4 linked regions of the Stegostoma tigrinum genome follow. The protein of the gene in region 2 purifies or fractionates together with the protein of the main gene of each other region. This does not show direct contact. Links are inferred from orthologs where the notes say so. Each region holds a gene or a part of one and is shown on either strand. Other genes may lie near its edges. The genes, in order: insig1, scap, srebf2 and srebf1.

The links.
Region 1: the proteins of scap (region 2) and insig1 purify together in Homo sapiens (affinity purification with western blotting; 11 studies listed by BioGRID and IntAct, with this or other methods). This does not show direct contact. The link is inferred for Stegostoma tigrinum from reciprocal best matches to the Homo sapiens genes SCAP and INSIG1.
Region 3: the proteins of scap (region 2) and srebf2 purify together in Homo sapiens (affinity purification with western blotting; 3 studies listed by BioGRID and IntAct, with this or other methods). This does not show direct contact. The link is inferred for Stegostoma tigrinum from reciprocal best matches to the Homo sapiens genes SCAP and SREBF2.
Region 4: the proteins of scap (region 2) and srebf1 purify together in Homo sapiens (affinity purification with western blotting; 4 studies listed by BioGRID and IntAct, with this or other methods). This does not show direct contact. The link is inferred for Stegostoma tigrinum from reciprocal best matches to the Homo sapiens genes SCAP and SREBF1.

What each region holds. Positions count from the first base shown.
Region 1 is NC_081355.1:142,091,255-142,099,353, forward strand, and holds the start of insig1 (insulin-induced gene 1 protein), read right to left. Parts: upstream 3,074-8,099; 5' UTR 2,798-3,073; intron 2,774-2,797; exon of another isoform or gene 2,712-2,773; intron 2,334-2,711; 5' UTR 2,277-2,333; coding exon 1,949-2,276; intron 1,018-1,948; exon of another isoform or gene 364-1,017; coding exon of another isoform or gene 327-363; intron 1-326. UniProt on the Homo sapiens protein: Oxysterol-binding protein that mediates feedback control of cholesterol synthesis by controlling both endoplasmic reticulum to Golgi transport of SCAP and degradation of HMGCR.
Region 2 is NC_081358.1:98,288,255-98,295,517, forward strand, and holds the start of scap (sterol regulatory element-binding protein cleavage-activating protein), read left to right. Parts: upstream 1-4,111; 5' UTR 4,112-4,204; intron 4,205-4,216; exon of another isoform or gene 4,217-4,442; intron 4,443-4,609; exon of another isoform or gene 4,610-4,830; intron 4,831-7,263. UniProt on the Homo sapiens protein: Escort protein required for cholesterol as well as lipid homeostasis.
Region 3 is NC_081391.1:4,386,458-4,394,776, reverse strand, and holds the start of srebf2 (sterol regulatory element-binding protein 2), read right to left. Parts: upstream 3,181-8,319; 5' UTR 3,007-3,180; coding exon 2,922-3,006; intron 1-2,921.
Region 4 is NC_081376.1:20,032,525-20,040,689, forward strand, and holds the start of srebf1 (sterol regulatory element-binding protein 1), read right to left. Parts: upstream 3,073-8,165; 5' UTR 2,901-3,072; coding exon 2,768-2,900; intron 1,385-2,767; exon of another isoform or gene 1,185-1,384; coding exon of another isoform or gene 1,166-1,184; intron 397-1,165; coding exon 1-396.

The sequences.
Region 1 (8,099 bases), on a different chromosome or scaffold from region 2:
CAGCCCCTTGAGCTTGTTCTGATATTCAATGCGATGTAGGTGTGGGCAATGTCTCACTAACAGTGTTAACCATCATAAAAACACAACCCATCTTTCTGAACATTATCTCCAAATAGCAGGACTGAGAACAGTCACCAAGACACCTGAAGTTCACTATAACAAAACAAAGAACTGTCGATGCTGAAGGTTTGAAGCAGAAACTGTTGCAGAACCTCAACAGGTATTGCAACATCTGTGGAGAGAAAGCAAGAGTTAACATTTCCAGTCCAGTGACCCTTCTTCGGGGGTTGACTCGGCTTTCCCTACGTAGATGCTGCCAGACCTACTCAGTTTTTTTTCTGCAATGCCAGTTCCTTGTTGCATGAAGTTTCACTTCTACAAGAAAGTCACCACAGAAACTCCGAAGGTCGATCACGTGAGCTGTACAGCAGGTAACGAACCGTATTACATAAAATTTAAATCTTTTCTGGCTTCCTTTGAAGACCACCTCTCCTGTCTATTGCGCCGAGATTGGGTTGAGCCTATTTAAAAGCAGGTGAATGCTAACATCAGTGAAATAGAAAGGGTGGGGAGGGAAAACACACAATGTTAATAAGTTCAGCACTCAGCAGTATTACAAACTCTTGAGACAGGCTCAGCATCCTGTCACTTCATTTCCTTGCTTTCATTCTGTATTTTAGTTTAGAAAGCCAAGTGGTATGTTGCACATGACAACCAATCAGGAGCGAGCAGTCCAGCTCACCCGTTGCCAGCTGAGCCAATCAAGAAACAGCACTGCACTCCAAGGCCCCGCCTCCTCCAGCGCGCTTGCAATTTCATGCAAATCTAGCGACACGTGGCGCGAAAAACCTCCCTCAGGAATATAATTGAAATGAATCATCGGCGTTAAAAAACACTGGCATCTTCCGCTAGTGCGAAGATGTCTTTTGGAACTTCAACGTCAACTAGCCTTGTTTTATTTCCATTTCAAGGCGTGAAAATTGACAGTTTATGAAAGAAAAACTGACTTCCTATTTAAAAGTTAATAAAATGTGAGGCTGGATGAACACAGCAGGCCAAGCAGCATCTCAGGAGCACAAAAGCTGACGTTTCGGGCCTAGACCCTTCATCAGAGACCCTCTCTGATGAAGGGTCTAGGCCCGAAACGTCAGCTTTTGTGCTCCTGAGATGCTGCTGGTCCTGCTGTGTTCATCCAGCCTCACATTTTATTATCTTGGAATCTCCAGCATCTGCAGTTCCCATTATCTCTGATCCTATTTAAAAGTGTTCTTTCTTGTGAGCGGGGAGATATGTGTGTTGCAAATGGTTGGGGATTGTTCGAATTAAGCCACTTTTTTTTATCTTTAGAGGTTGGGAGTTACTATAATTTTACTGCAAGTTTCACACCAAAGTTGAGATGCATTTTCTGAAAGAATCGAGGATTTACAGTGTCACAACACAAAAGAGGTTGATATGTTACCGCGTTTGGAGAGAAAAAAAGATTTGAATTGCGGAAAATGACAAACACATGCTTCTGTCGAATACAGACGCCAAATGCTCAGTGTTAAAGAGTCAAGAAGTTATTGATTTAAGGGTTTGTCAGCTCTAGTGCTTACAACTCATTAGATTACCATGTTTGGTGACAGATGCCCAATGCAAGAACACAGTAGGATTGGAATGTTTTTTAATAAAAATGCTGAAAAACTAAGAACTTTTATCGAGGCTTTCAAAACATCTGTATTCCAAATTCAAGTCTAATGACAATTTGTTGACGTTTTAATAGGACAAGAAGTATTTTTTTAAAATAACATTATTTAACAGGTCTGGTTGATATTTTAAAGAGTGCCCCTTTTTCGTTGAATGGAGGATAAAGTTTGCTACAGGTTACTCTCTTGAACAACTTCAACACTGTAAAAAGGCCTAAACTTATTGGCATATTGATTTCTCCCTCCCAATACCCCGCGCTTACCTGCCGCTGTGCCACAACAAGGTGGTACCCACCAGGCAGAGGAGAAAATTGTGGCAATGACCTCTTCGGGGAACAGGGTGACGTGCCTCTGGATCTGCAGCAGGTTCAACACCAGCGCCAGAAACACTCCCACGGTGAAAAGCACCAAGCCCCGCCGCAGTAAGTTCATGGTGTGACCGCTAACCAGGGAGCAGTAGGCACTGACTAGGATCGAGCTGACGATGGTCATCATCTCGTAGACCTTTGCCACCAGCAGTGTGCCGTTACTTTCAGACGGATGTACCCGGGTGCAACTGCACGACCAGCAAGTTTCTTCGATCCTTGACATTTGGTATGGAGAGGCAACTGGCAGGAATTACACTAAATTGGCGGCGCCTCCACGGCCCTGCAGGGGTGAACAGCAAACGGAAAAGATAAAATCAAATGAATTCATTTGAGTGACACTTAAACACAACAGGGGAGCGTGTCCAAATGCCAAACTTTGTGAAATTATCGACACAGCAAGACCAGTAAATACTGAACACTGCGATATTCCAAATGTTAAGCCACTGAGAATGGTGGTGGATTTGCAAGTGAAGATGGTCTCAAGAGTTAATGGTAAAGAAACAGGCTCGCCCTGATACGTTAGCTTCGTTTTTTTTCTAGGCTAATGATGGCCTCAAACATAAGAGAGCTAGCTGTACAAACAGGGAGAAAGCTTTACAGGCAAACACATCCTATCGTCCCGAACAGACACAAGATAAATACTCATTTTACTTCTTACAGCCACACCGGGTTACAGTATAACCAACTCATCACTGAAGCACTAAAACTCATTCCAGTGAAATCAGCCTGATAAACAAAGCTTACCGTCCAGTTTTGAGCAGCGCTAGCACTAAGCACCATTAAAAGCCAGCCTTCTGTGAAAAAAAACAATGGGGGTGGAACTTTGTGCAGGCAACGCTTTTCAGGTTGCCAGTTGCTCTACATTGTATGTGTGGAATTATTAGGTCACATCCTGCAATGGGACTATTCATACAGCGCAGACGGGCAAGCGGTCAAAACAATCTGTCTGGTGAGACTCTTGGAGCCAATCGCAGTCTGAACGGCCCATATGACGTTAAGGACACACCATTCGGTGCACCGTCCGTTTGCACAGGAAGAGGAGGATAAACCACACCTTCCTGTCAAGGCATCATAAAATACACGCACTGTCACTCTTTACTCATCCGTTCTCCTCCCCCCCCACCCCCGCTTAAAGACTGAGAAATGAAACTGAAGTGCAGAGGAAAGCGGATTGAATGGTGACCCAGACTATTTGACAGGGTGAAGTGACCTTGTGTAAATTACAGACAGCCTGTGAATGTGGGAGGCAGGCAGAACGTGTAGAGGGACGAAGCAGAGCCTGAATCTGCAGCACCACCTTATTTTTAATGTTCTGTAATTATCTCTCTGCCTCATTTGATTGGATTATAGGTCATTCCTTGGTTGGTTATTCAGCTGTTGACACTTTTACTCACTGTCTAATACTCCTGGCCATCTGCAGAGACTTGTCATCTGACACTCGACTCATTAGAATGGATCTTTCCACCTCTCTGCTTGTAATCCATGGGTCAGTGTGCCTGCTGTCTCACCACACTTGACAAAAGGCTACACTCCAAAAGCTTGTGATTTCAAATAAACCTGATGGACTATAACCTGGTGTCATATGACTTCTGACTTTGTCCACCCCAGTCCAACACCAGCACCTCCACTTCCTGTCCTTTTGAGTAGGAAGTCTTCCAAACCTGCTAAGTTTCTCTTTCAATTCCTTCCACTTCCTGCAGACTAAGGGGATGGCCGTGGGCACCCGCATGGGCCCCAGCTATGCCTGCCTCTTTGTAGGTTACGTGGAACAGTCCCTCTTCCGCACCTACACAGGCCCCAAACCCCACCTCTTCCTCTGTTACATTGATGACTGTATCGGCGCTGCCTCTTGCTCCCCAGAGGAGCTCAAACAGTTCATCCACTGCACCAACACCTTCCACCCCAACCTTCAGTTTACCTGGGCCATCTCCAGCACATCCCTCACCTTCCTGGATCTCTCAGTCTCCATCTCAGGCAACCAGCTTGTAACTAATGTCCATTTCAAGCCCACCGACTCCCACAGCTACCTAGAATACACCTCCTCCCACCCACTCTCCTGCAAAAATTCCATCCCCTATTCCCAATTCCTCCCCCTGCGCTGCATCTGCTCCCACGAAGAGGCATTCCACTCCCGCACATCTCAGATGTCCAAGTTCCTAAAGGACCGCAACTTTCCCCCCACAGTGATCGAGAACGCTCTTGACCGCGTCTCCCGTATTTCCCGCAACACATCCCTCACACCCCGCACCTGCCGCAACCGCCCAAAGAGGATCCCCCTCGTTCTCACACACTACCCCACCAACCTCCGGATACAACACATCATCCTCCGACACTTCCACCATCTACAATCCGACCCCACCACCCAAGACATTTTCCCATCCCCACCCTTGTCTGCCTTCCGGAGAAACCACTCTCTCCGTGACTCCCTTGTTCGCTCCACACTGCCCTCCAACCCCACCAAACCCAACACCTTCCCCTGCAACCGCAGGAAATGCTACACTTGCCCCCACACCTCCTCCCTCACCCCTATCCCAGGCCCCAAGATGACTTTCCACATTAAGCAGAGGTTCACCTGCACATCTGCCAATGTGGTATACTGCATCCACTGTATCCGGTGTGGCTTCCTCTACATTGGGGAAACCAAGCGGAGGCTTGGGGACCGCTTTGCAGAACACCTCTGCTCGGTTCGCAATAAACAACTGCACCTCCCAGTCGCAAACCATTTCCACTCCCCCTCCCATTCTTTAGATGACATGCCCATCATGGGCCTCCTGCAGTGCCACAATGATGCCACCCGAAGGTTGCAGGAACAGCAACTCATATTCCGCTTGGGAACCCTGCAGCCCAATGGTATCAATGTGGACTTCACCAGCTTCAAAATCTCCCCTTCCCCCACCGCATCCCAAAACCAGCCCAGTTCATCCCCTCCCCCCACTGCACCAAACAACCAGCCCAGCTCTTCCCCTCCACCCATTGCATCCCAAAACCAGTCCAACCTGTCTCTGCCTCCCTAACCTGTTCTTCCTCTCACCAATCCCTTCCTCCCACCCCAAGCCGCACCTCCATCTCCTACCTACTAACCTCATCCCACCTCCTTGACCTGTCCGTCTTCCCTGGACTGACCTATCCCCTCCCTACCTCCCCACCTATACTCTCCTCTCCACCTATCTTCTTTTCTCTCCATCTTCGGTCCGCCTCCACCTCTCTCCCTATTTATTCCAGAACCCTCACCCCATACCCCTATCTGATGAACGGTCTAGGCCCGAAACGTCAGCTTTTGTGCTCCTGAGATGCTGCTGGGCCTGCTGTGTTCATCCAGCCTCACATTTCAATATCTTGGATTCTCCAGCATCTGCAGTTCCCATTATCACAAGTTTCTCCAGCATTTGTGTTTGTTTCAGATTTCCAGTATCCACAGTATCTTATTTCTATTCAAGTATATCCAGGTAGCAGTCGAGGAGAGTATAACATTCATTGTGTGAGGCTGAACCTCACAGATGCTGAATTTTCATCACTTGCAAGATTGCCAACTTGGCCTGTAATATTATGGTCACCCAATTCTGTTCTGATCCAGGGCTACTGAAAGCACTCAATTCATATCTCTTACGTGCAGAAAGCAGTTGGACAGAATGTCATGTTTTGGCATGTAAATTCTAGATAACGTTATTTTTAAGTGGAAATGTTTTGGATAAAGGAGTAATTTTATATTGACAATACAGTATGGAGCTGGAGGAGCACAGCAGGCCAGGCAGCATCAGAGGAGCAGGAAAGTTGACAAAGTTGAGGAAGGGTCCCGACCCGAAACATCAACTTTCCTGCTCCTCTGATGCTGCCCGGCCTGCTGTGTTCCTCCAGCTCCACTCTGTTGTTTTTGACTCCAGCAGCTGCAGTACTTGCTATCTCTGAGTAATTTTACATTGGGCCACTCTCCTCATACTCTCCCTTTAAATCTGTTTTTTCTCCAGTACCACAATGAATGGAATGGTTGAAAATATGTAAGAATGACTCAGTGAGAATGCTTGCTGACTCTAAATAGTGGGATTGAATAAGAGGAATATGAACACTAGTACAGATCATTTGAGCTCACCAAATGGCCTATTTCTGCAATTCTATGCAACAAGGTCCCTGCAATTCCAGTTGTATTTTCTCCACAGTAACTTTATCTGATATAGGGTACTCTCTGAGTGAAGGACCAGTCTCTATTGATAGTGCAAGAAAATGATGGGGCTACAAGATCAGCCATAATCTCAATTCAGTGGCTCAAAGAGCTGAATGGTCTGCTGCTGCCCTTACTTCTTGTGTTCTTATGATAGCAGACACTTTCTACATTCAGCATGTCATGTGTGCAAATCCAATTTAACCCAGATTTGAATCAAAGCAAAATTCTCTGGATGCTGGAATATGTTTATTCCTTCACAGGATGGGGGTGTCGCTGACTAGGCCAGCATTCATTGCAAATCCCTAATTGCCCAAAGGGCAGTAAACAGTCAAACACATTGCTGTGGTTCTGGAGTTCCATGTAGCCCATGTAAGGATGGCAGTTTTCATCCCTGCAGGATATTGGTGTACCAGATGGATTTTTACCAACTATGAACAATAGTTTCATGATCATCATACAGTGTGGAAACAGGCCATTCGGCCTAACAAATCCACACTGACCCCTAAAGAGCATCCCCCTAACCTTTGCCTGTACCCCTACATTTTCTATGATTAATGCACCTAACCGACACATCGCTGGTTACTATTGGGCAATTTAGCAAGACCAATACACCTAACCTGCACATCTCTGGGTAGCAGGAGGAACCAGAAACTGCTGGAGAATCTCATCAGGCCTGTCAACATCTGTGGCGAGAGGCACCGAGTTAACATTTAAAATCCAGCATGACTCTTCATACCAATTCTGAAATGTTAGCTCTGTTTTGCACACTTCATGGATGCTGGCAGGCCTGCTGAGTTTCACCAGCTGTTTTTCTCCAGCCCCTTATGCTTTTAATCCAAATTTGGATACACCAGTCTGACCACAAAATAATTTGTCTTGAGTTATTTCAAAAGGAAAGAGGAACTGAAATATCAGCTTGAGAAACAGAGCATTGAAATATGATGAAGGGTCTAGGCCCTAAACGGCAGCTTTTGCGCTGCTAAGATGCTGCATGGCCTGCTGTGTTCATCCAGCTCTACACTTTGTAATCATTGAAATATGAATCTATTCTAACTTGCTGATTGACACTACAGGAAAACTGTAACTTCCTCCAGGGAGGTAAGTAATTGAAGTCTTGCTGCTTTTGTTAATCAATTTCCAGCAGCAACTTTCTGCCTGGAATACAGTCAGAATTGCAGAAATAAGCTGGCATCTTATTCTCCGACACTTCCGCCATCTACAATCCGACCCCACCACGCAAGACATTTTTCCATCCCCACCCCTGTCTGCTTCCGGAGAGACCACTCTCTCCGTGACTCCCTTGTTCGCTCCACACTGCCCTCCAACCCCACCACACCCGGCACCTTCCCCTGCAACCGCAGGAAATGCTAAACTTGCCCCCACACCTCCTCCCTCACCCCTACCCCAGGCCCCAAGATGACAATCCACATTAAGCAGAGATTCACCTGCACATCTGCCAATGTGGTATACTGCATCCAGTGTACCCGGTGTGGCTTCCTCTACACTGGGGAGACCAAGCGGCGGCTTGGAGACCGCTTTGCAGAACACCTCCGCTCGGTTCGCAACAAACAACTGCACCTCCCAGTCGCAAACCATTTCCACTCCCCCTCCCATTCTCTTGATGACATGTCCATCATGGGCCTCCTGCAGTGCCACAATGATGCCACCCGTAGGTTGCAGGAACAGCAACTCATATTCCGCCTGGGAACCCTGCAGCCCAATGGTATCAATGTGGACTTCACCAGTTTCAAAATCTCCCCTTCCCCTACTGCATCCCTAAACCAGCCCAGTTCGTCCCCTCCCCCCACTGCACCAAACAACCAGCCCAGCTCTTCCCCTCCACCCACTGCATCCCAAAACCAGTCCAACCTGTCTCTGCCTCCCTAA
Region 2 (7,263 bases):
ATCTTTATGATCTTGGCAAGATGAATATGGAAAGAATGTTTTCTCTTGTGAAACAATGCAGAATTATGGGACAATGTTTTAAGATTTGAGGTTACCCAATCAGCTAATACAGGAGAATTTTTGAGGGTTATGGGTCTTTGAAACTCAGCCTTGAATGTTGCAGAGGCAGGGTGCATTGGATATTGGATAAATATTATGCAACGACATGTTGCAAACTCAGGACATCTGCTACTTAGGATGAGGGGAAAAAAGATGCATGGGCAATCCATTGCCCTCAGGTTTCCCTTCAAGTCATGCAATGAGTGTTATGTGAGAGCAGATGAAATGTAGCACAAGAAGATGGCTAATGAACTCTTTGAGCTCAGTTAGAAAAAAGTGCCAGCCTTGTCAATGACAATTATATCCAATCACCAAAGTCAAGCAGAGAAGCCTTGATTTCACAATGCTCTACTCTGAAGTCCATCGCATTCTTGAGAATAAATTTCATTGTGGATGACTGGATGCATTATGAATTGAACATAGATAACGAGTTGAACTCTGGCTATTTCAGATCCCCATGGCGATAGAATTTTCAGTCCGTCCCAATATATCAGTTCACACAGACTCAGTTTCAACTCAATCTTTTGTCTTTGAGTTGCTAGAAATCTTAACTGATTGAGGTGGCCCAGTGGCTCAATAGCTGGCAGTGCTGCCTCAGCGCCAGGGACCTGGGTTCAGTTTCAGCCTTGGGGTGACTGTCTGTGTGGAGTTTGCATGTTTTCCCGATAGCTGTGTAGGTTTCGTCTTGGTGCTCCATTTTCCTCCACGGTCCAAAGATGTGCAGGTTAGATGGGTTAGCCTTGAGAAATACTGGGATGAGGTGGGTCTGATTGGGATGCTCTTCGGTGGATGACTGTGGATTTGACAGGCTGAATGGCCTGCTTCTGCACTGTAGGGTGTCTCTGAACTATGTTAAGTTACTATATTGGTAAATTGCCTAAGTGTCCAGTGATGTGCGGGCTGGGTAGATTAGCTATGGGCAATGCAGGGATACAGGTGTGGGTCGAGATGGGATTTTCTTGGAGGGTCGGTGTGGACTCGATGGGCTAGATGGCCTGCTTCCAAATTGTAGGGATCCTTTGACTGAGATGAAGGCAAGAGGAAGAGTTAGAGCTGGGCAAACATAGACAACTGTGGAAGCAAACACTATTTAATTTGTACAGTTAAAGAGCACTCCAATGAAGAAGGCATTTTTGGGAACTGAATATAATTTTGAGAGAATTAGAACCCAGTAGTGAAAATAAACTGGCTTTCACAGAATTAAGAGTAGACAAAGATAGTTCAACTTAGACATTTTTCTTTTATCATTCCAACACTGGCAAAAATGAAGGCCAAGCAGCATCAGAGGAGCAGGAAAGCTGATTTCAGGTCGAGATCCTTCTTCAGAAATGGGGAAGGAAAGGGGATTCTGAAATAAATAGGGAGAGAGAGAGCGAGGGGAGATTTTGAAGCTTGTGAAGTCGACATTGATACCCTTGGGCTGCAGGGTTCCCAAGCGAAATATGAGGTGTTGTTCCTGCAGCTTTGGGCAGGCGTCATTGTGGTATTGCAGGAGGCCCAGGATGGACATGTTGTCCAAGGAGTGGGAGGGGTAGTTGAAATGGTTTGCGACTGGGAGGTGCAGTTGTTTAGTGCAAACTGAGTGTAAGTGTTCTGCAAAGCGGTCCCCAAGCTTCCGCTTGGTTTCCCTGATGTAATGGAGGACACAATGGGAACAGTGGATACAGTATACCACATTAGCAGATGTGCAGGTGAACATCTGTTTGATGTGGATGGTCTTCTTAGGGCCTGGGATGGGGATGAGGGGAAAGGTGTAGGGACAGATGTAGCACTTGCTTCAGTTCCAGGGAAAAGTGGTGGGGGTGGGGGGGGAGTGTGGAGCAGACAAGGTAGTCATGGATAGAGTAGTCCCTCCAGAAAGCAGAGAAGGGTGGGGAGGGAAAAATGTCCTTGGTAATGGGGTCAGATTGCAGATGGTGGAAATGTCAGATGATGTTGCATTGGATTTGGAGGTTGGTGGGGTGGTATGTGAGTATGAGGGGCATTCTGTTATGGTTATTATTGTGGGTACGGGGTGTGAGGGTTGAGTTGTGGGAAATGCAGGAGCCACAGTCAAGGGCATTTTCTATCAAGGATGGAGGGGAAGTAGCAGTCCTTGAAAAAAGAGGACATCTGGGATGTCCGGGAGTGGAATGCCTCATCTTGGGAGCAGATGCGGTGGAAGTGAAGGAATTGAGAATAGGGGATGGCCTTTTTGCTGGTGACAGGACGTCTATTCTAGGTAGTTGTGGGAGTCAGTAGGTTTGAAATGGATATTGGTTTCCAGGTGGGTGCCAGAGATAGAGACAGAGGTCCAGGAAGGACCTAAGTGGAGGCTTGGGGACCACTTTGCGGAACACCTATGCTTGGTTTGCACTGAACAACTGCACCTCCCAGTCACGGACCATTTCACCTCCCCCTCCCAGGACGACGTGTCCATCCTGGGCCTCCTGCATTGCCACAACGACGCCACCCGAAAGCTGCACGAACAGCATCTCAGATATAATGGGAACTGCAGATGCTGGAGAATTCGACATAACAAAGTGTGGAGAGATAATGGGAACTGCAGATGCTGGAGATTCCAAGATAATAAAATGTGAGGCTGGATGAACACAGCAGGCCAAGCAGCATCTCAGGAGCACAAAAGCTGACGTTTCGGGCCTAGACCCTTCATCAGAGAGCTCTCTGATGAAGGGTCTAGGCCCGAAACGTCAGCTTTTGTGCTCCTGAGATGCTGCTTGGCCTGCTGTGTTCATCCAGCCTCACATTTTATTATCATATAACAAAGTGTGGAGCTGGATGAACACAGCAGGCCAAGCAGCATCTTAGGAGCACAAAAGCTGATGTTTTGTTTGCTTGGGAACCCTGCAACCCAAGGATATCAATGTAGACTTCACAAGCTTCAAAATCTCTCCTCCCCTGACCGCATCCCAAAACCAGCCCAGCTAGTCCCCGCCTCCCCAACCATTCCTCCCACCTCAAACCCCACCCCCCTCTCCTACCCACGAACCTCATGCCCCCTCCTTGACCTGTCCGTCCTCCCTGGACCGACCTGTCCCCTCTCTAACTCCCCACCTACATCAATCTTCACTGGCTCCATCCCCACCTCTTTGACCTTTCTATCTCCTCTCCACTTCTATCTGCCTTCCCCCCCTATTTATTTCAGAATCCCCTTCCCCGCCCCCATTTCTGAAGAAACGTCAGCTTTCCTGCTCCTCTGATGCGGCTTGGCCTGCTGTGTTCCTCCAGCTCTACACCGTATTGTCTCAGACTCTCCAGCATTGGCAGTTCATACTATCTCTGGCAATAATGAATTTAGCTCTTTGGATTTCCCTTCAGCAACTTTGCTGATATTCTTTTCTTCAAAGCTCATTCCATTTGACAATAATTTTGGTCATCAAATGGATATCTCAAACCAATTCAAAGACGATAGTTTTGAAGCGCTGCCACTCTTGTAAGAAATGTGGCAGTTTTTTTATACACAAACCTCCCACAAACATTAGTGTATACGCCAACGGGAAATCTGTTGTATATGTTGGTTGGGAAAGAAACATTGCTGAGGAGTGCTGGCAGGGGGACAGCTGTATGGCCGATTTCAGTTCACATATCAGCCTAAATGTTGGTAACACTGACCGTGTAAGATTTCCTGAGTGCCATGTAGATTGTACTCTGTAGGAGCTGTTGAAGACTTAATAAGCTGAACGGCCTCCATGTGCTGTACTTTTCCATGAATTACAGTGCTTTGTATCAAGTGCAAGTTGCTTTAGTTTTTATGTGGGTGATGCTGTCATTTTTTTCTCCTATCTTTTTTAATTGATGAGTCTGTCTTACGTTGCTCAGCGTTCTTTACAAACTATCGACTAAGTGAACAACACGTGCAAAAAGGCAAAATAAGGAACAAGTCTAACACTAGCTTCATGCTTCTTATTCCGCACATCAGGCGAGGCATGGGGATGTGGGTGGGGCTAACCCCGAAGCCTGCGGGAGATGGGCGAAGTTAGCCCGGGGCGTGCTATCTGCGAACGATGGGAGGGGTTGACCTGTGGGGCAGCGGATTGGAGACCGGAAGGACTGTAGACGCTGAAAGCCACAGCCAATAGATGTGGAGCTGGAAAAAGCACAGCGGGTAAGTCAGCATCAGAGCAACAGGAAAGTCCATGTTTCGGGCTGAAACCCTTCACAGAACTGGGAATGAGGTAAGAAGGGGGAGGGATCCTGGTGTAAATAGAGGGAGGTGGAGCTGGAGAAGAGATTACATGATGAAGGGTCTAGGCCCGAAACGTCAGCTTTTGTGCTCCTGAGATGCTGCTTGGCCTGCTGTGTTCATCCAGCCTCACATTTTATCATCTTGGAGCTGGAGAAGGGTAGGTTGGATGGTGGCGCAATAGTGTTAACCCGGAGCGCGCGGACGGTGGGCGGGGTTGAAGTGGAAAGCGTGTGGTGCGAAATGAGAGGGGCAGACGGGGGCGGAGTTAATAGGGGGAGCGTGCGGCTACGCTGGGTGGAGTTTGTGTCGGGGCCGGGGCCGCGCAGTTTGGGGGCGCCGTGCTTACCTGGGAGCGTGCGTGTGTAAGGGCGACGTTAATCCGGGCGCGCGCCAACGGTGGGTGGTTAACCCAAGTGAGCGGGAGCGCGCATCATGGATTTGCGTGTTACTGAGGAGACGCTGTGGAGTGGCATCTGAGCTGAAACACAGGGACTTCACGGCAGTTAATTATAACCATCGAGGGAGAGAAATTAAGCCACCAGCAGGTGAGAAGGTTTGGTAAATGTCACTGAATTCCTCAGCTTGAACAGAGAGGACGGCTGAGTTGAACTCTTTGAATAATTTAGTTTTCCATGAGATCAGCTAGGCCCAAACCTCGTCCTGTATTTTTACACTGGAGTGGCTCATGTACCTCGCTGCTTCACATCATGTTTTATTATTATGAGGGTTGTTTTTAATCGCTTTCTCGTAACTAAAAAGAGCATCATTCCATTCTGAGCTGACGCTTGCCAGTAAATTATTGTAGTGCCAATTAGCAATTACTTTTTCCATTGTAAATTTTGAATGTAATATCCTCCATGGAAATCCGGTTATTTTGTTTAAACGTATTTACAACAAGGCTTAAAATATTAGTTTTTCAAAACTTATTTATTTACTTTTGAAATCATGTCTTGATTTTTTTAACTCCTAAAAATAGGATCTACATTAATCTCACTTCACTAATTACTCTACTGTGAAATGATTGCATTTTGAATGGAAGGCTTGAAATTTCATTTTTAATTTGATGAAAATTAATCTTAAGTGATGCTTTGGCTATTCTGTCAAACACACCTTTCTTCCCATGAGATGGTTAGTCGTTATTCAAAATGATGTTAAGCATTTGAAAGATATAAATGTTCCCTATGCAGTTGCAGTCATAAGCACACCTTTTCATTATCCTTAACAATTTCTAACTTTCTTCCTTCCCGCACCCTGTATTGACAAATTTCTTTTGTGCCTTGCTTTAATGGAATGTTGGGTGTTTCTTCGCTGCCCCCACCATATATTTGTTTTAACACAAATATAGTTCTGATGGTATTGTTTGATTTATGAGTAGCCAATTTCTTTGTGCCCCATTGCGATTGCAAATTGGTGACTGTTATTTTTCTTTGCCTCCCTTTTTTTGTGTTTGGTAGGATGATCAGGTTTCTGCACAGATTAGGTGGTAAAAATGTGACCAGCATTTTGTTTTATGTGTGAAGGTTCCTCCAAATGTTGCAAGTTTTAAAATGCTACATTTTTGCCAAATGAAGATGCTAGTCTGTTGTCAAACAATTGAAACTACAGCTGAGAAACAAATACTTCATTGATACTTTGACTTCTTATTGCTTTTATTCTTTCAAATTCTAATTCAAAATACATGTATTTGATACATAATCGTGAACTTTTCCTTTGCTCTATGAGAATGACATATTAAAGTCCCACAAAAATCAATTACTGTCCTCATCATGAGCCATTTAGATTTATGTAAACTGATGGTCCACTGTCCTGTACAGCAATAAGTATTGATGCTTTTGATTGTTTTGTACTAACACCCATCACCAGGACCATGTTTATCATCTTGTTACTTTATCCAACATTTATAAATGCAGCCAATATCTCATTATTAAATAGTAGTTTTGTTGTCAAGACAATGAGACCCTCCTTCTACTCCCCTTCCTCAGCCTTCCTTTCCCCTCCTGAGTGTGTTATTGCCTCCTGAATTGATGTTATTTTACTGAGAGCACCAGTTTTAATCTCTTGGCAAAGTCTCAACTGTAACAATGGTAAACTATTCCTGCTTGTCCTGGTTCCACCCTTTTACTCAGTTAAGAATGCCATCATCCTCAAAAAAATTCTTCATGTTTGTCCAGTTAAATGTGGCAGTACCCATCAATACTCTTAACTTCCCAAACATAATCAGCAAATCACATCATAATTATTTTTCCCATTTCAGTACCATTACAATTACTCTACCTCAAGGATCAATCCTCGATCTCCATCATACTTTTTACCCATGTGCCAACTATTATGATTCCTGAAGACTATCAGTTTTAATACATATGCTGGCACCAATTCTACTTAATTGTAACTACATGACCCTTTTGTTTTCTGAGTTGTAAACTGGTTGTTTGGCATTCAGTATTCAATGAGTAAAAATTTCCTTCCAACTAAATATTCAGAAGACCAGCAATGCATTCCATTGACTGCATCTCTCTCCCTGTTTAACAGGGCAAGTGGAGGTTATGAAAGGACAGAGACAGGCTCTATTCTAATGGGGAATAAGGAAATGGCAGAGAAATTAAACAAATACCTTATCACCCTTCATCATAGAAGACACAAAAATATTCCAAAAACAGTGAAGAACTATGGATCTAGGGGAAATGATCGACTTAGTGAAGAATTAGGTTTGAAGAAATTAATGTGCTTTAAAATAGACTGGCTTTGGACCTTGGAACCTGCATCCTATGATTTTATTCTACTGCTAGAATAGTAGAGGCCTGTTTATTTCTGGAGTCCAGAACAGTTCACATTTAATGAAAGATGTCAATCATTGCCCTAATATTTAAGGATAGGGGAGAGAAAATGGAGAAATATAGTTAGCTTGAAATTGATCATTGGAAAAATGATATCCTTTTGAGGTTGTTGAGGGTGGTTGGCTCGCTGAGCTCGTTTCTTGT
Region 3 (8,319 bases), on a different chromosome or scaffold from region 2:
CCCATCTAATCATGTTTAATTCCCTTGGTATATGTCAAGAATAAAGCAAGGTAATGGTGGAAAAAGTCAGGTCAGGCAGTATCCATGGAGAGGAAGAGTAGGATAAACATTTTCAGTCTCTCATCTTCAATCTGTGGAAAAGGCCACCTGAGTATTTTTGTAATCAAGTCCGCTGCAGTGGGACTTGAGCCCATAAATTTGTGATAAGAGGCAACAGTGCAACCAACTGAGCTACAGCTGACTACATGGCTTGCATCAGCAAATGCTCAAAGGCGAGAACAAATTGTAATACTATGACTATAACAGATGCTAATCTGTGGCCATCAAATTTTACAGTAAACCAAGTGATATATCCTTATTAATGCTGATGATGGAGTTTGGTTTGTTTTCAAGGTGACAGACCAGATTCCATCACAGAAAAGTTACCATCCTAGTCTGTGTCAGTTTACATGCTTTTCCGGAGCCTCCTCCCATGCTACTCCACCTCATTCTTGAATAGATTCCCTACAGTATGGAAACAGGCCCTTTGGCCCAACAAGTCCACATTGCCCTTTGAACCTTCCACCTAGACCCATCCCCATCCCCCAAAAATCCACATACCCCTGAACACTACAGACAATTTAGCATGGCCGATCCACCTAATCTGCACATCTTTGGGCTGTGGGAGGAAACCGGAGCACCCAGAGGAAACCCACGCAGACACAGGGAGAATGTGCAAACTCCACACGCAGTCACCCGAGGCTGGAATCGAACCCAAGTCCCTGGCACTGTGAAGCTGCAGTGCTAATCACTGAGCCACCGTGCTGCCAATTCCCATCAATATTTTCTCCAAAGATGATCAGAGACTTTAATTCACAAAAAAAACTTACATACTTAATATCTTTCATGCCCTCAAGGCATCCTTCAAATGGGCAAAGGTTATAAAATGAAAAGGGTTTTAGTCTATCAATAAGTTGGTTTGTCCTGTATTTTATAGGTTAGTTGACATGAAGAAATATATGAACTTAGCAATGTAATAAAAATAAAATTGAGAGTGGATCTCTTTTTTAAAAAAGTCAAAAGGTTAATTATTTATTTTGTATTTGATGAACAGAATTCCAATTGTATAAGAAAAAATTTCTTTCAATTAAGTACTTGGACTATCAAAGCCAAAATCATTAGATTCTGCCATAAATGCCAGTACCTACTCATTCTTCAAAATCCATTATTTCAGCCAGCATCTGGCAAAATGTTCTCTTTTGGTATCAAACTGATAGATCATTCCTGAGTAAAGCAACCAAATAGCAATGAACGGCATTTATATAGTAGCTTTGATTTAGCTTAATATTCCATTGAGCACTTTCAGACAAAATATTGACACCAAGTCAAAGAAGCAGGATTTAAGACAAAAACCAGATCAAAAAGGCAGGTTTTAAGCAGGCCCTCGGTAAAGACAAATGCAGTGATCAGCTTCAGATGAAAACTGCAGAACATAGGATAAATTATTGAAACCATGGCTACCAATAATGGGGTGAAGGAAATAGGGATAAACAAGCAACAATAATTGAAGACCTTGAAAGGAAATGAGGTATTTGTAATCCAGAATTGCCAAAGCAGGAACTGATGTACTGCAGCAAGAGCAAGATGACAAATGAACAGCATTTGGTGCAGGTTAAGTCATGGGCAGTAGAACTCGGATGTGTTTAAGTACATCGAGTGTGGAAGATGGAAAGCTGGCCAATTGATCACTAGCATAGGCAAATCTAAAACTAACAAAAGTACAGATGAGGTTTTCAGTAACTGAGCACAGGCCATGGCAGAAATAGACAATGTTGAGAAGGAGGAAGCATATAGTGTTGGCGACTCTCAGGAGAAAGTCTGAGAGAAGATGTAGTCTGAAGTTAAATTCAGGGCCAAACCGGACACCCCAATTGTGGGCAATTTGGTTCAGCTTCAGACAGTTGTCAGGCAGAGATAAAAAAAAAGATCAGTTAATGGAGTTTAAAGCAGGATCTAATGATGATTGCTTCAATGTCCAGAACAGTTAACAAGAAGTAATTTTTGCTCATTTAATACCAGATGCCCAGCACAGCAGGGGATATTTTATGTTAAAGATATAAATGCACACTGTTGTGAATAAGAATCAGAGAGGCTCTGTTATCACAATATTTTACAAGTTACCACATTATCATGATTCTGATATCACAGATTTTACACACAGATCACATTCTCCATTCTACATTTTACAATTTACTGTCAGTGCAATAACCAAAAGTTAGTAAACAAATATCAGATGAGTAGTGATGGTAACTAACAGTAAACAAAGGAAACAATTACGCAAATAATAAGTAAAAATCAAAAGAACGGCTGTAAATCAGGAACAAAAACAAAGTTGCTGGAAAAGCTCAGCAGGTCCGGCAGCATCTGTGGAGGAGAAAACAGAGTTAACGCTTCGGATCTAGTTCTGAGGAAGGGTCACCGGACCCGAAACGTTAACTCTGTCTTCTCCTCCACAGATGCTGCCGGGCCTGCTGAGCTTTTCCAGCAACTTTGTACAATAGGAATGTTAGAAAATAGGCTGGATGGAATTATGTGTAGAATCTTATTATTTGTGTTAACAAAAACAAAGTTGCTGGAAAAGCTCAGCAGGCCCGGCAGCATCTGTGGAGGAGAAAACAGAGTGAACGCTTCGGATCTAGTTCTGAGGAAGAGTCACCAGACCCAAAACGTTAACTCTGTCTTCTCCTCCACAGATGCTGCCGGGCCTGCTGAGCTTTTCCAGCAACTTTGTTTTTGTTAACACAAATAATAAGATTCTACACATAATTCCATCCAGCCTATTTCCTAACATTCCTATTGTACATTCAGAATGATCATTTGTATACGTTGGTTTTAAACAGACTAACATACATTTTGGGAGGAAACATAAAGCATTAACTCACCATCAATATCCCCAAAATTCAGCCCCTCACTGAGCTCACTCAGTGAGGGGTCCATATTCTCAAACGATATATCCTCACCCTCCATTGTTTTAAGGGTCGAATGCTAGGGATTCCGATATTAAGAGGGTTACGTTTTCCTGTATCTCAGTTTAGGTTCCTGTTACTTTAACCCAACATTATCATTTCTCTTCGCAATTCCACTGCCGCCGCCGCCATCTTGGCCAGCCCCCTTTCCTCATGCCCCGCCCCCGTGACCCGGTGGCCTCACCCCATCCGGTGCGCGTGTTGATCGAGCGGTGGCGCGAGCGGCGTCCGTTGGTGTTGGCCGCAAACACGAGATGTGGGTCGGCCAATCGCTGGGCCAGCCGGCCTGATGGGGTGATGCGACGTCAACATGGGTACAGTCCGTCGCCTTGGTTACCGGCGGCGGCTTGCTTTCCAAATTTCGCCGTAGGTGTTTCTGCCCAATGCTGCGTCAGGTGAGGGTGGGAATGTTTTTTCCGTCTTTTTCGTCCAATACCTGCCAGCGTAAAGAGATTATGGCTGTGGAATGAAATTAAAATTGCACGAATCAAGGCTGGGAAAATGTGGAATTGCTGAAAAACCTCAGTAAACCACGCAGCATAACGGAGAGAAAGTAATTCCAGTCTTCAGAACGGAACTGGTCGCTAAGCCCGAGCCATTGACTCTGCTTTCTCTTCTCAAATGTTGCCAGGCCTGCTGATTTTACAGCAATTTCTGATTGCCAGCATCCGCAGTTCTTTGTTTTGAGTTGTTTTCCTCAGGGGGAAGGAGGCATTTGATTAAGGCGTACAAACCTCTAAGGAATAACTTCTCCTTAGAAGAACGGTTTGAAAATAGGGTGAGTGATAATGGGAACTGCAGATGCTGGTGAATCCAAGATAATAAAATGTGGGGCTGGATGAACACAGCAGGCCAAGCAGCAGCTCAGGAGCACAAAAGCTGACGTTTCGGGCCTAGACCCTTCATCAGAGAGGGGGATGGGGTGAGGGTTCTGGAATAAATAGGGAGAGAGGGGGAGGTGGACCGAAGATGGAGAGAAAAGAAGATAGGTGGAGAGGAGAGTATAGGTGAGGAGGTAGGGAGGGGATAGGTCAGACCAGGGAAGACGGACAGGTCAAGGAGGTGAGATGAGGTTAGTAGGTAGATGGGGGTGCGGCTTGGGGTGGGAGGAAGGGATGGGTGAGAGGAAGAACAGGTTAGGGAGGCAGAGACAGGTGGGACTGGTTTTGGGATGCAGTGGGTGGAGGGGAAGAGCTGGGCTGGTTTTGTGGTGCAGTGGGGGGAGGGGACGAACTGGGCTGGCTTTGGGTATGGTTTTAAGGTTAGCAATAGGAGGTATCAAGGGGATTTAAGGAAAAAGGTTTTTGCCCTCAGGGTTGTGTATATCTAACTCTGTGCCTGACAAGATAGTAGCAGTGGGAACTCTTCACTCATTTAAGTATCATTTATATGAGCATTTAAAATGCAACAGCAAACAAGGCTATGGGTCAACTGCTGGAAAATGGGATGAGAATAGATAGATGGTTGGTTTGGACCAAGAGGCCGAAAGACTTCTTTTCATAATGTAAAATCTTGACTCTAACATTATCTTAAATCATCATTCCCCTCAATTATAGATTATGTTTTTTTCTGGTGGGTTTAAACTACCTTGTCAAACACCTTCCAGAAGTCTGAACGCAACAGTTATTTCTCCTGTAATGCTTGTGTGATCTCATGTGAAAGAATTGAATTGAATCATTTATTCTCACATGTATTCAACGTAAAAACAGTGAAAAGTGTTCACCTTCGCCATACATACATGGTGCCAATCACATTAACTTAGAATAAGTCAAGGAAAAAGAACTCGAAAGTCCAACATGAGTTTGCGCTATAGAAAATCGCTTTGGAAAGTCATGTTATAGGGAAATCGTTATACAAAATCGCTAAACTATACAGTAGAAAGTTTGAGTTATCCAAACAGTGTCCACCGTTCATCAATCACGTGACAGCCAATTCACATCAGCGAAACAAGCGTTATGGCAGAACTACCTGTACCTCTACTGGTTTCCCTCTATACACTTTGGTTGAGACACTCGGAAAACTAGAAAATTAGTCAGGCGCGATTTCCCTTTCGTGAAGCCATGTTGACTCTGCTTGATGAGATTATGATTTTTCAAACATGCTGGTATAACTTCCTGAATAATCAATTCCAACCTTTTTCCAACAATATACATTAGGCTAATTGGCCTATAGTTACCCGCCTTTTGTTTCCCTTACTTTTCGAATAGAGATGTCACAGCAGTTTACTAATCCTCCAGTTCTCCCCCAGAATCCAAAGATTTTTGAAAAATTACAACCAATGTGTCCAATATCATAGCAGTAACCACTTTCAAGATCCTAGGGTGCAAGCTATAAGAGCCAGAGGACTTAACTACCTTAAGCTCCATAATATTATTTCTCTAATGATGGTGTTTAATTCCTCCCCCATATCCTTTAGTATTAATAGCACTTTGGAATATCTTCCACTGTAAACACTGATGCAAAGTATCTGTTGGACTCCTCTGCCATTACCTTGTTCCCTATAACTATCTTGCCAGATTCATTTTCTAAGGGTGACATGTTCACTTTGAACTCTCTCATCTAATGTATTTAAAGAAGCTCTGTTTGTCAGTTCTTGTATTTCTTACTAGTTTGCCCTCATTGTTTATTTCCTGTTTCTACTATTTTTTAGTCCTCTTGGTGATTCTGAATTTGTCCCAGTCTTCGGGGCAATCACTGACTTTTATCTTCAAAATGCTATTTCTTTCATCTTTGTGCTCTCTTTAATTTCCTTGGTTAACCATGGTTAGTTTATCCCCCCTTAGAATTTTTTTTCCTTACTGGGATATAATTTTGCTGCAAGTCATGAAATGCCTCCTTAAATGTCTGTTGCTATTTGCTTTGTGAGACTCGCTAGCACCAGGTGTCTTTGGGTTCAAAAAGCACTGTCCGCCAAGTACTTTGGATTTGTTTGAAGTTGCGGTGTGTCACAGAACTGAGAAAGGCGCAGTGGCATTAAAACTTCCAAGAAGGGATGTGCAATACAGATCTTTTGCTGTCTGCTCTGAGTGGATAAATAAAGCACTAAAGATGCTGAAAATAGAGCTTCTAACTCAAGTAACAACTTAAATCCAACTGACTAGCTACTGAACTGGAGATCACCACAGTCAACAACAATGCAATACCATTGCCAAAAACCAAAAGAACTATGAGAAAGTTATCTTATTGCGTTTTTGTCATTTGGAGTCTTGATCCACAGAATTTGTTCCTTTTCCCTTATGTTCCCTACCCATGATATGTCTCCTCCTACTTGTGAAAGAATATTGAGTGTTTAGGTTTAAAGGGGGTATAGTTTAAGTTTGTACAGTAGTGATTAATTGCCACTTGTTAAAGGATAAACTTGTTAAAATAAATAAGTTTAAGTCTTTTTGTTTATTAAATGAACCTGGTGCTTTTTAAAAATCTTAGCGGTCTAAGTCAAGCAAATTAATGATCTTGCTTTTAAATCAGTCATTTATGCATTTGTGACAATTCATACTAAACTTTTTAGACACTTCTTCAATACCAACCAGGGAATGCAAGTGCACATCTTCCTCAAGTTCAAAAAGCAACCATCACCACTACAGTATTAATCTTTCCTGTCATTCAAGCTAGCTTTGTGTCCATGCTGTTACTTTTTTTTTATTCCATAGGCTTCAACTTTGATTACAGGCCTGTTACCTGGAACTTTATCAAGTCCATTTACATCACATCAACTTACAACATTTTGTGATGTTGTGATCCAGAAATTGAATCTGGATGGGTACATGAATAGAAACGGTTTGGAGGGATATGTGCCAAATGCTGGCAACTGGAACTGGGTCAGATTGGGTGTCTGGTTGGCACGGACAAATTGGACTAAAGGGTCCGTATCTGTTCTTATGACTCCATGAACTGTAAATCTCTGTTTCCCCATTATTGAGAAGATTGTTACAAGTCGGAACAAAATCTGGCTTGTACCTTCTTTTATTTGAAATTACTGTAAGATGAATGCCTGCAGGGAGTGTCTCATGGTAGAGGTCACACAACCACAACAAGCTAGGAGACACTTTTTTTTGTATTCATTCGCGGGATGTGGGTGTTGCTAGCTGGTCAACGTTTATTGCCCATCCCAAGTGAGTCCAATATGGCGGCAAAGTAGGAATAGTTGGAATACCTCTGCTGGCCAGGTCTTTTACCCCTTTCCCCGTCCCCCTGTGTGGAGTTCTGGAAGACTGGAGCAAGTGGGCCAAGACCCACGGCAAACCGGAGCAAGCATGACCAAGACTCAGGGAGGACCAGAGCAAGTGGTCAAGTCCTGTGGCAGTCCGGAATAAGTGGGCCGAGACCTGTGGAGAACCGTACATTGCCGAGGCCAGGTGCCAGCTCTTCGACACCTCCTCCTGCCGCCCCCTTGATCATGACCCCACCCCGACAACCAAACCATCATCTCCCAAACCATGCACAACCTCATCACCTCAGGTGACCTCCATCCCACAGCCTCCAACCTCATCGTTCCCCAATGCCACACCGCCCACTTCTATCTCCTTCCCAAAATCCACAAACCTGACTGCCCTGGCCGACCCATTGTCTCTGTCTGCACCTGCCCCACTAAATGTATCTCCATCTGTCTCAACTCCATTTTTCCCTCCTTGGTCCAGGAACTTCCTACCTACGTCCGTGACACCACCCACGCCCTCCACCTCCTCCAGAACTTCCAATTCCCCAGTCCCCAACGTCTCATCTTTACCATGGATGTCCAGTCCCTATACACCTGCATTTTCTCATACAGATGGCCTAAAGGCCCTCCACTTCTTCATGTCCCGCAGGCCCGATCATCCCCCACCACTGACACCCTCATCCACTTAGCCAAACTTGTCCACACCCTCAACAACTTCTATTTCAATTCCTCCCACTTCCTACAGGCAAAGGGGGTGGCCATGGGTACCCGCATGGGCCCAAGTTTTGCCTGCCTCTTTGTAGGTTATGTGGAACAATCCCTCTTCCATAGCCAACTGGCCCTAAACCCCACCTCTTCCTCCGTTTCATTGATGACTGTATCGGCGGCGCCTCATGCTCCCATGAGGAGCTCAAACAGTTCATCCACTTCACCAGCACCTTCCACCCCAACCTTAAGTTCACCTGGACCATCTCTAATACCTCTGTCTCCTTCCTGGACCTCTCTGTCTTCATCTCTGGCAAACACCTAGAAATTGATATCCATTTCAAGCCCACCAACTCCCACAGCTACCTAGAATACACCTCCTCCCACCCATCTTCCTGAAAAAAAATCCATCCCCTATTTCCAATTCCTTTGCCTCCACTGCATCTGCCTCCA
Region 4 (8,165 bases), on a different chromosome or scaffold from region 2:
TAAATCCATTGGAATTCTGAAAGCCCAGTGACTGTTGCTGCACAAACTGTGGCTGTAGTTGTGTTGAGGTTGTAAAACTCTGTGACATCATGAGAGACTGCTGATGTTGACTCTGTTGCATCTGAGCATTTTCTTGCTTGACACGTTGTGGAGAGGGGCCCTGAAGGAGCTGCGATTGCTGCGGACGCTGAAGCTGTTGGACCCTGGAGGCCTGATACGTTTTTGCGGGAATTTGATTCTTGCCACTACTCCCCAACAGGCTGTCAAGAGTCAAGTTCAGAGACCCCTGGTTAGGTGTGATGGATGAACTGCTATCCTGGAGAGGGCTGCTAGAAAAGGTGTTGTCAAACAATTCAGGGAAATCTCCATCCTGATTGCTAATCAACTGCAACATATCTGTAAATAAAGTGGAATACATATTACAAGACTAGACAGATAAGTTGCTACTTCAGCAAACTGTATCCTGAAATAAAGCAGCCAGTAGCACATTCGTTGTCGACTTATAAAAGCATTTACATTCCCCCAGTTGCAGGCTTGCTCCAACTAAATAAATCACTACAACATCACAATGTAACTGGAATGCAAAACTAATTAATTAATTCCAATGTATCTTGGGTCGTCAGATCTTCTGATAAGGTGTTACATAAATGGCGGTAATTTTCGTTCATAAGATCTACACTGGAAAAATCAGAATTTTTTAAAGTTATAACAAAAACACAACAGCTACTTTAACGCCATCAATTTCCATATCAACAGCTACTTTAACACAATCAATTTCCAATTAATCAGATTTTGATGGGGATATCATTTCCATTAGTTGTACAATCTCCAAGGCTCCCACATATTATGGACAACTGCCAATGCCTGTGTATTTCAGATCTTGCATAAATGCTAATTTGTTTTAGAATTATGAGCAAATAGCACAAACATTTTCATTAGTACCATTTTCCCATTATCACAAATGTGTTTTTAAAGCTTTGCTTTAAATATTCTGCTGTTCATGCTATTCTAAAAGTGAACTACATACATCTGAAATCAAATGTAGCCATCTTGTACAATAATTGAAAGAGACTGTTTACAACAGCATTAAGATACACTATCTGCACAAATATTTGCACCAGTAAACCTCAATCTTTACAGTAACACTATACTGTAACAGTATTACCTTCAAATGTGCAGTCCATTGCTACACTTCATCTGTTCAACACTTGATACAAGGGTTATGCTGCTACATTAAGAGCAATATTTTTGTAGTGCACAAGAGCACCTTAGGAGCTTATCTGTTTCGTCTTTCGGAACACTGCACATACAAAACCACACTGCAGCACAGTAAGCAAACAGAATTGCTCTATACTTCTTGCCTCCTCTTCCTCCTCCTAAGAAAAAAAATCCACTGACTGTATTCAAATTGAGGGGCGGTTGTTGGAATCTGTTTTTTTCTCATGAGGTGATCTGGTTGAACCAATCGCTGCAGTGCCCCAGTTGCTCGCTATGTTTGGCTAACCACTCAGACATGACAGAAAGGATTTGTGTAATAGTCTATACTTCCAGGGGCACTGACTAATTCACAAAGGTGAATAACCAGGGGTTACTTTCGGACATCTGCTCCCCAGTGCTAATTCCAATACAGATATAGTACAAACCATCAAACTCACTCAAGACATTTAAAAATCACAGTCTAATACTGCAACATTAGTTCATTTCTAGATTTTTTAAAAATGAGTGCATCATATAACATACTGAAAAACTTAGGTTAACAATTTTAAAATATCAGAAAGGGCTTCTCAGAATGTAAGTACTGTTATGGATTAAAACCAAGTACAGAAAATAATTCCTTTTGGTTTGTAAAAACTCAAAAGTTTCCAAGATGCTGTTGGCGTCTTGGAGTAGATCAATGTGCAGATGAACTTGAGAATTTCACAGAAGGCAATAACCGCGAGTAACCCAGGCGTGACGTCACTGACTGAGCTGAAAGGGGTTGGGTTGAAATTGAACACACAAGTCAGCAACTGTAACCTTGCCAAAACTGCAACGAATCGATTATACTGAGCACCAGGGCAAACAGGGTGCATACTCTCCACGTCGGATGATATACAAATTGAACGATTTGAAATATGAGTTTTATATTGATTAAGTGTAAAGATGATTTTCTCCTTTCCCCATATCTCATTGAAATTAAGTGTAATTTTTTCATAAATCCCTTTCTCTCATCAATGTTTAAACATTTATGTTAGAAAAGGGGCAGTCTGACAAGTAATTTTACCAGAATAAAATTCAATGAATGACTTAAGCTGCACTAACACCATTACCATCCCGAGTTAAGGGCTGTTTACACCCTACCCTAATACAAACTGACTTTAACTATTATAAAGTGCCTGTACTTAAATGCTGCACGAAGTTTAGAAGTAGAACAACAATATTATGTACGTAAGTTTATACAATTTTCCACAAATCATGGAAGCATTTACTCTTAATTAAATAATTTTACCAGTATTCTTGATTTTGATTTCAGTAAGAATTGTTTACCAAGGAATTCTACAAATTGTTAGTTCTATCTACAACTGTCAATGCAGAGTACAAGCTCAATCTTTGGATCTTCAAACAGCCCATTAAGCAGTGTCCTGTTCTACCAGACAACGAGCAGAGTTGTTAACATTAACATCTAGACCTTCTAGACTATCCAAAGGAGCCAGGCTCTGCCCTATACCTCCACGATCCTGCTCCCCCACCCGGAATGCTGCCCTCTCAAGCCCTGCCCATCACTCACCATCAATGTCACTGAGCAGTGCACTATCGATCTCGCTGCTCTCGGTCAGAGACGGCTCCAGACTGTCTAGGGCCGAATCCTCGAACATCATGGCCGGATCAGGAGCAGCGTATGACTTCCCACTGTTATTCATGTTAAACAAGGTGAATGTCCCAGACGCGGAGAGGGGAGGATCAAACCGGCCCGGGTAGGGTGGGGTGGGATGAGGTGGGGCAGGGCGGGTGAAGGGTATGTTGAACTCGCTGTTTACACCGGGCTCACCGGCCGTGGAACCATGTCAATAAACGCCAGGAGACACCTAACTCGCTGGCAGGAGCTGAAGAGGGAGGGTATCTCCCGAAGACACGAACTCATCTTCTTGATTGATAACTAGTATGGCCAATGAGAGGCCAGGTCCTTGTGGGCTCGCCCTACTGGGCGGGCAAAGTGCACCAATCATTTGCAGGTTATGTTCAAGTTCGGTTGAGAAGGCGCCGGCGAGCGCGGGGGTGGAGCTGGCCCGCGTGCCTCTAGAACCAGCGGAATGCAGCCAATGAGAGCGCGGTCTGCGGCGTGGGGTGATCCATCGTCATCGCTGCAAGCCGCCGCCCTCTTTTTGTGGGGATTACATCAACTCACTTCCCCACGTGGTGGGGTTAGGACTAGTCGATTTTGTGGTTAACAACAAGAAACTGTTACAAGTTTTGGAGGTGGGAGGGTAGAGATAAGTAGATTGGACAAGTAAATTGGACTTTTCAGCACAATTAAAGAGGTTGTTAGGCCACAAAAAAAGCTATGTGGCTCAAACTAATGGTGTAATACTTCCCCCTTTCTCCCTATTTATTTCAGAACCCTCTCCCCCTCCCCCATTTCTGATGAATTGCCTAGGCTGGAAATGTCAGCTTTTGTGCTCCTCTGATGCTGCTTGGCCTGCTGTGTTCATCCAGCTCCACAACTTGTTATCCAAGATTCTCCAGCATCTGCAGTTCCTGTCATCTCTGATACAATTTTAATCTCACTTCGAAGCCTCTTCTAGGGATGCCTAACCTGAAGAAGTTACCCTCCTCCCTCCAGACAAGGGGATCTCTCTCCCACTGCAACACCAGCATCTGCAGTTCCTATTGTCTCTGGCGTAATACTCCATATCAGCTCACTTCAAACATAAATCATTACAATATATTGAATGTATCCTGATGAAGGGTAACTGGACTCAAAACATTAACTCTGCTTTCTTTCCACAGATGCTGTCAGACCTGCTGAGTTTCTCCAGCAAGTTCTATTTTTGTTTCAGATCTCCAGCATCCATGGTTATTTGTTTTATTATAGCTTGAAATATCATTCTTGAGCACAACTATTAGGACCCGTCTTAACTTTTTGACTCTGCTTAAATAAAAGATTGGTAAGCAGCACGCACAGTCAGGTGGGAAAATTGTGATGTGCAAATAATAAAGTGGAGGTGCAGGTGTTGGACTGGGGTGAACAAGGTCAGAAAACACACGATGCCAAGTAATGGTGACTTCAACTGACATAGGAGCAGCGCTGTGAAAGGTTGTGATTTCCAATAAATCTGTTCAACTATAATCTGGTGTCATATGACTTCCAATCTGGAAGTAATGACGATCGGGTACGAAAAAGAGCAGACTGGTTATTAAATATTCCTGGATAGATGGTGTTTGGGAAATAAAAGAAAGGAAAGAAAGCAGGAGGGATGCATGTATTTGATATCTTAGATTAAGTCAAGGTCAGGATCTATTTGGGTAGTGCTAAAAACACAGCAGAGACACTGTTACTATATTTGGTATATTGCATAGATTATCAACTAATTGGAGAGATATAGAGGAATAAATATGGAATGAAATTACACAGAGGTGAAGAGGTAATTCAGTTGTTATTATGTGGAACTTTAATTATACTAATAAGTCTGGGATGGTAACAATAAAGGAAAAGAGACTGAGTGATTTTGAAGTGCATTTAGGAGAGATTTTTAGTCAGTGTTTTTTGGCCAGATGAGAAAGCATCATTGATCGATTAGATTTTGTGCAATAAGGCAGATCAAGTGGACAATGATGATCTCATCTAAGTTTTAGGCTAGCAGTCCTAGTAAAAATACTTAATTGAGAGTGAGTGGGTTGAGACTACTTTTAGCACAGGTAAGTGGCAATGACTGACAAACAGTCCTGCAACAGAACAATTGGTTGACTGTAAACATGAGATGGTTCAGGTACAGTCAAGGTATGTTCAAGGGAAAGAAAGGTAAGCCAAACAAAACCAAAAGTTGTGGATGACGAAAGAGACAGATAGTAAGATGAAGTGGAAAAGGAATGCATATGACAGATGTCTGATTGATAATACAGGTGAGAACCAGGCTGAATATAGAAAGTTCCAAGGGAAATTAGAAGTAAACAGTGGAAAACGTATACGGAACCCCGAGCATCACACCTACCCCTCTCTTCAAACATTATGTGCCCCACCTTTAATAGGGTGTGCATATCTGGGATCAGGCTGTCTGGTCACTTCAGGACACACAGAGTGGTTGGTGCATGGAATGCGCTGCCGGTGGTGGTAGTGGAGTCAGATACATTAGGGATATTTAAGCGACTCTTTGATAGGCACATGGAAGATAGTAAAATGTAGGGTACGCAGGTTAGTTTGATCTTAGAGAAGGATATTAGGTCGGTGCAACATTGTGGGCCGAAGGGCCTATACTGCTCTGCTGTATGTTCTGTGTTCTCTGTTCAAACAGTGAGGATGAGAAGAAACTGATAGCTGATGCAAAAAGGAATTCCAAACATCTTCTAGAGCATATGAATAAAAAAAGTGTGGCAAAAAAAGGTGTGGAGTAGATTAGGGATCAAAAAGGGAAGGTTAATCTCAGTGGTGGAAAGACACTAAAAATAATAGCCTGGAACAAAACTAACAGTCACTTGGTCAAATGTGTATTAACTGAAGACAGCCAGAAAATATATGTTAAATGCAAGATATGTTTAACAAACTTAATGGTGAATTTTATGAGGTAACAGAAATGAATGATACATCTAATATGGTTGATGTGGTATACTGACACTTCTAAAAGAAACTAAATGATGTGTCATATTTTGTTCGGCATTCCCCCAAGATTAAGGATGACTTTCTTCCATTCCAATGTTGTGTCCTGAAGTGATCAGGCAGCCTGATTCCAGATCTGCACACCCTGTTAAAGGTGAGACACATGGTGTTTGAAGAGGCAGATGGGTGTGATGCTCAAGGTTTTGCATACATTTTCCACTGTTTGCACTTGACCTGCACCTGGGCTTGTTGTAGTCATTCAGCTGGATGCTGCTACGTAGATGCTTCTTCTCTAGTTTGGACTATCTTGGGCAACCTTGAGCAAGGGAATCCCAGGAGGTGGTCCTATAGATCATGTGCACAGTACTAGATTTGATGTCTTTGTCATCAAACAATCTGTCCATCGACTACCAAAGTTTGTGCTGGATGTAATGTTGATTTTAATTATCTATTTCTCTTCACTGAGAGGTGGCTGCCAAGTTATGAGAATTGATCCGCATTGTCCAGTTCCTCACTGTGGATTTTGATATTTGAGGAACAAGGCTGTGCAGTGAGAAGGGAGAACAGCTTCAAAGGGAAAAACAGCATGGATTGAATGGAGGCAGTCAGTTACTACAACAGGGAGAGGAGGCTCAGAGTCCAGAACCTGAAAAGGAACATCAGGATTTAAAAGTGGTATTAGCAACAGGGAGAACCTGAAATGCCATGTCATATATGTGTCAGCAAATTTGACACCTATGAAAGAAAAGCAACACTGGGAGCAAGAATACAATGTTGGCTGAGCAACTAGAGATAGAGAGTGGTTGTGAACAGTTGTTTTTCAGACTAGAAGACAATAACAGAGTGGAAATCCCAAGTCAGTATTGGGACCATTGCTTTTTTTGATCTAAATTGAAACCTTAACATGGATGTAAAGGACACAATTTAGAAATTTGAAAATGACTCAAAACTTGGAAGTATTATGAATTGTACAGAAGATTGAGATAGATTTCAAAAGATCACAGAGTGGCTTGTGGGATGGCAAATACATCGCTGCTGAAACTTAATGCAGAGAAATATGCTGTGTTACATTTTGGAGGAAGAGCAGAGAGAGGCTGATACAAAATAAAGGATACAATTCTAAAGGGTGTGGACAATGAGAGGAACCTGGGTGGTATATGTTTGTAAATTATTGAACACGGCAGAGCCATTGAGAAAGGGTAATTGAGAAATATGTGACCTTGGGCTTTATAAATAGAGGTATAATGCGCTAAAGCAAAGAAGTTATACTTTAAAAAATACTTGTTTGGCTCAAATGGAGAACAACAATTCCTCATTTAGTAGCGTAATTACATTTCTGAAAAAAACAACTTAAATCAATGTTAGGCAAATTTGATTTTCCCATTATGATGTAGCTTTAGCTAAGTTTTCTAAGTAAGTTTCTGATCAAAAGAAAAATGAATGTTCTAATTCTTGCGGCTTAGGACATAAGAACTAGGAACAGGTGCAGGCAATTCAGCCCTCCATCTTGCTCTGCCATTTGATATGAACATGGCTGATCTCATCTCACTTGCCAATTTCTCTACTCATTGCATCTTCTGCTCCATAAGCCTCCAGCTCACTGCCATTCATGTTTCCACAGCCACCTGCTTCCCAACTCTCCTGGTTGCCACTGCCCTCCTTGCTGGCTACTGCTCCTGCCTCCCACTTGCTGTGAGCACCAATTGGCAGGAGGTAATCTATAGAGTGAGAGCAGTTTCAAGTATTAGGGTCACGGAGGCAAGCCACAAGCTGTAGAAGTGGGTTAGGGAGGGGAAGTGGTGTCAGGGAGCAGGAGACCCTGCCCCACCATGGCAGCAAATGGGTTATACTATCTCATGTCATAGCTGCTGCAGGCTGACGTTCATGGGCATTCTCAATGGACTGTGTGAATAGTGGCCCCTTGAAAAATACAATATTGCATCAAGAAGATTTAAAACAGGGCAACTTAAAGTGCAGACTTATAGTATTGAGTCCAAGTTTAGAGAGCATACTTTGGAAATGCAGTTGAGAGGCTGCGGAAACAATTTGTGGGAATTGTTTCGTGGACAAAAGATTTTAGTTAGGACAGTAGGTTGGACAATCTTGGGTTGTTTTCCTTAGAGAAGAGAAGATTTATAAAAATGTTCAAAATTGAGCAGGTTCTGGATAAATGGAAAAAAGTGCTCCCTTGAGTTGAGGGGTTGCGAGTAGATGACATTATAAAGACTGAATCTTTTTATTTTCTTTATTTTTGGATTATGGATCAAAAACTGGGAAAATACTGTTTAAATTAAAGAGATGGTGGAAAGACAATGGCTGCAGATTTAAAATCATATTTATTGGAGCTGCTTGTGACTTGCAAAGTAAATGGGGC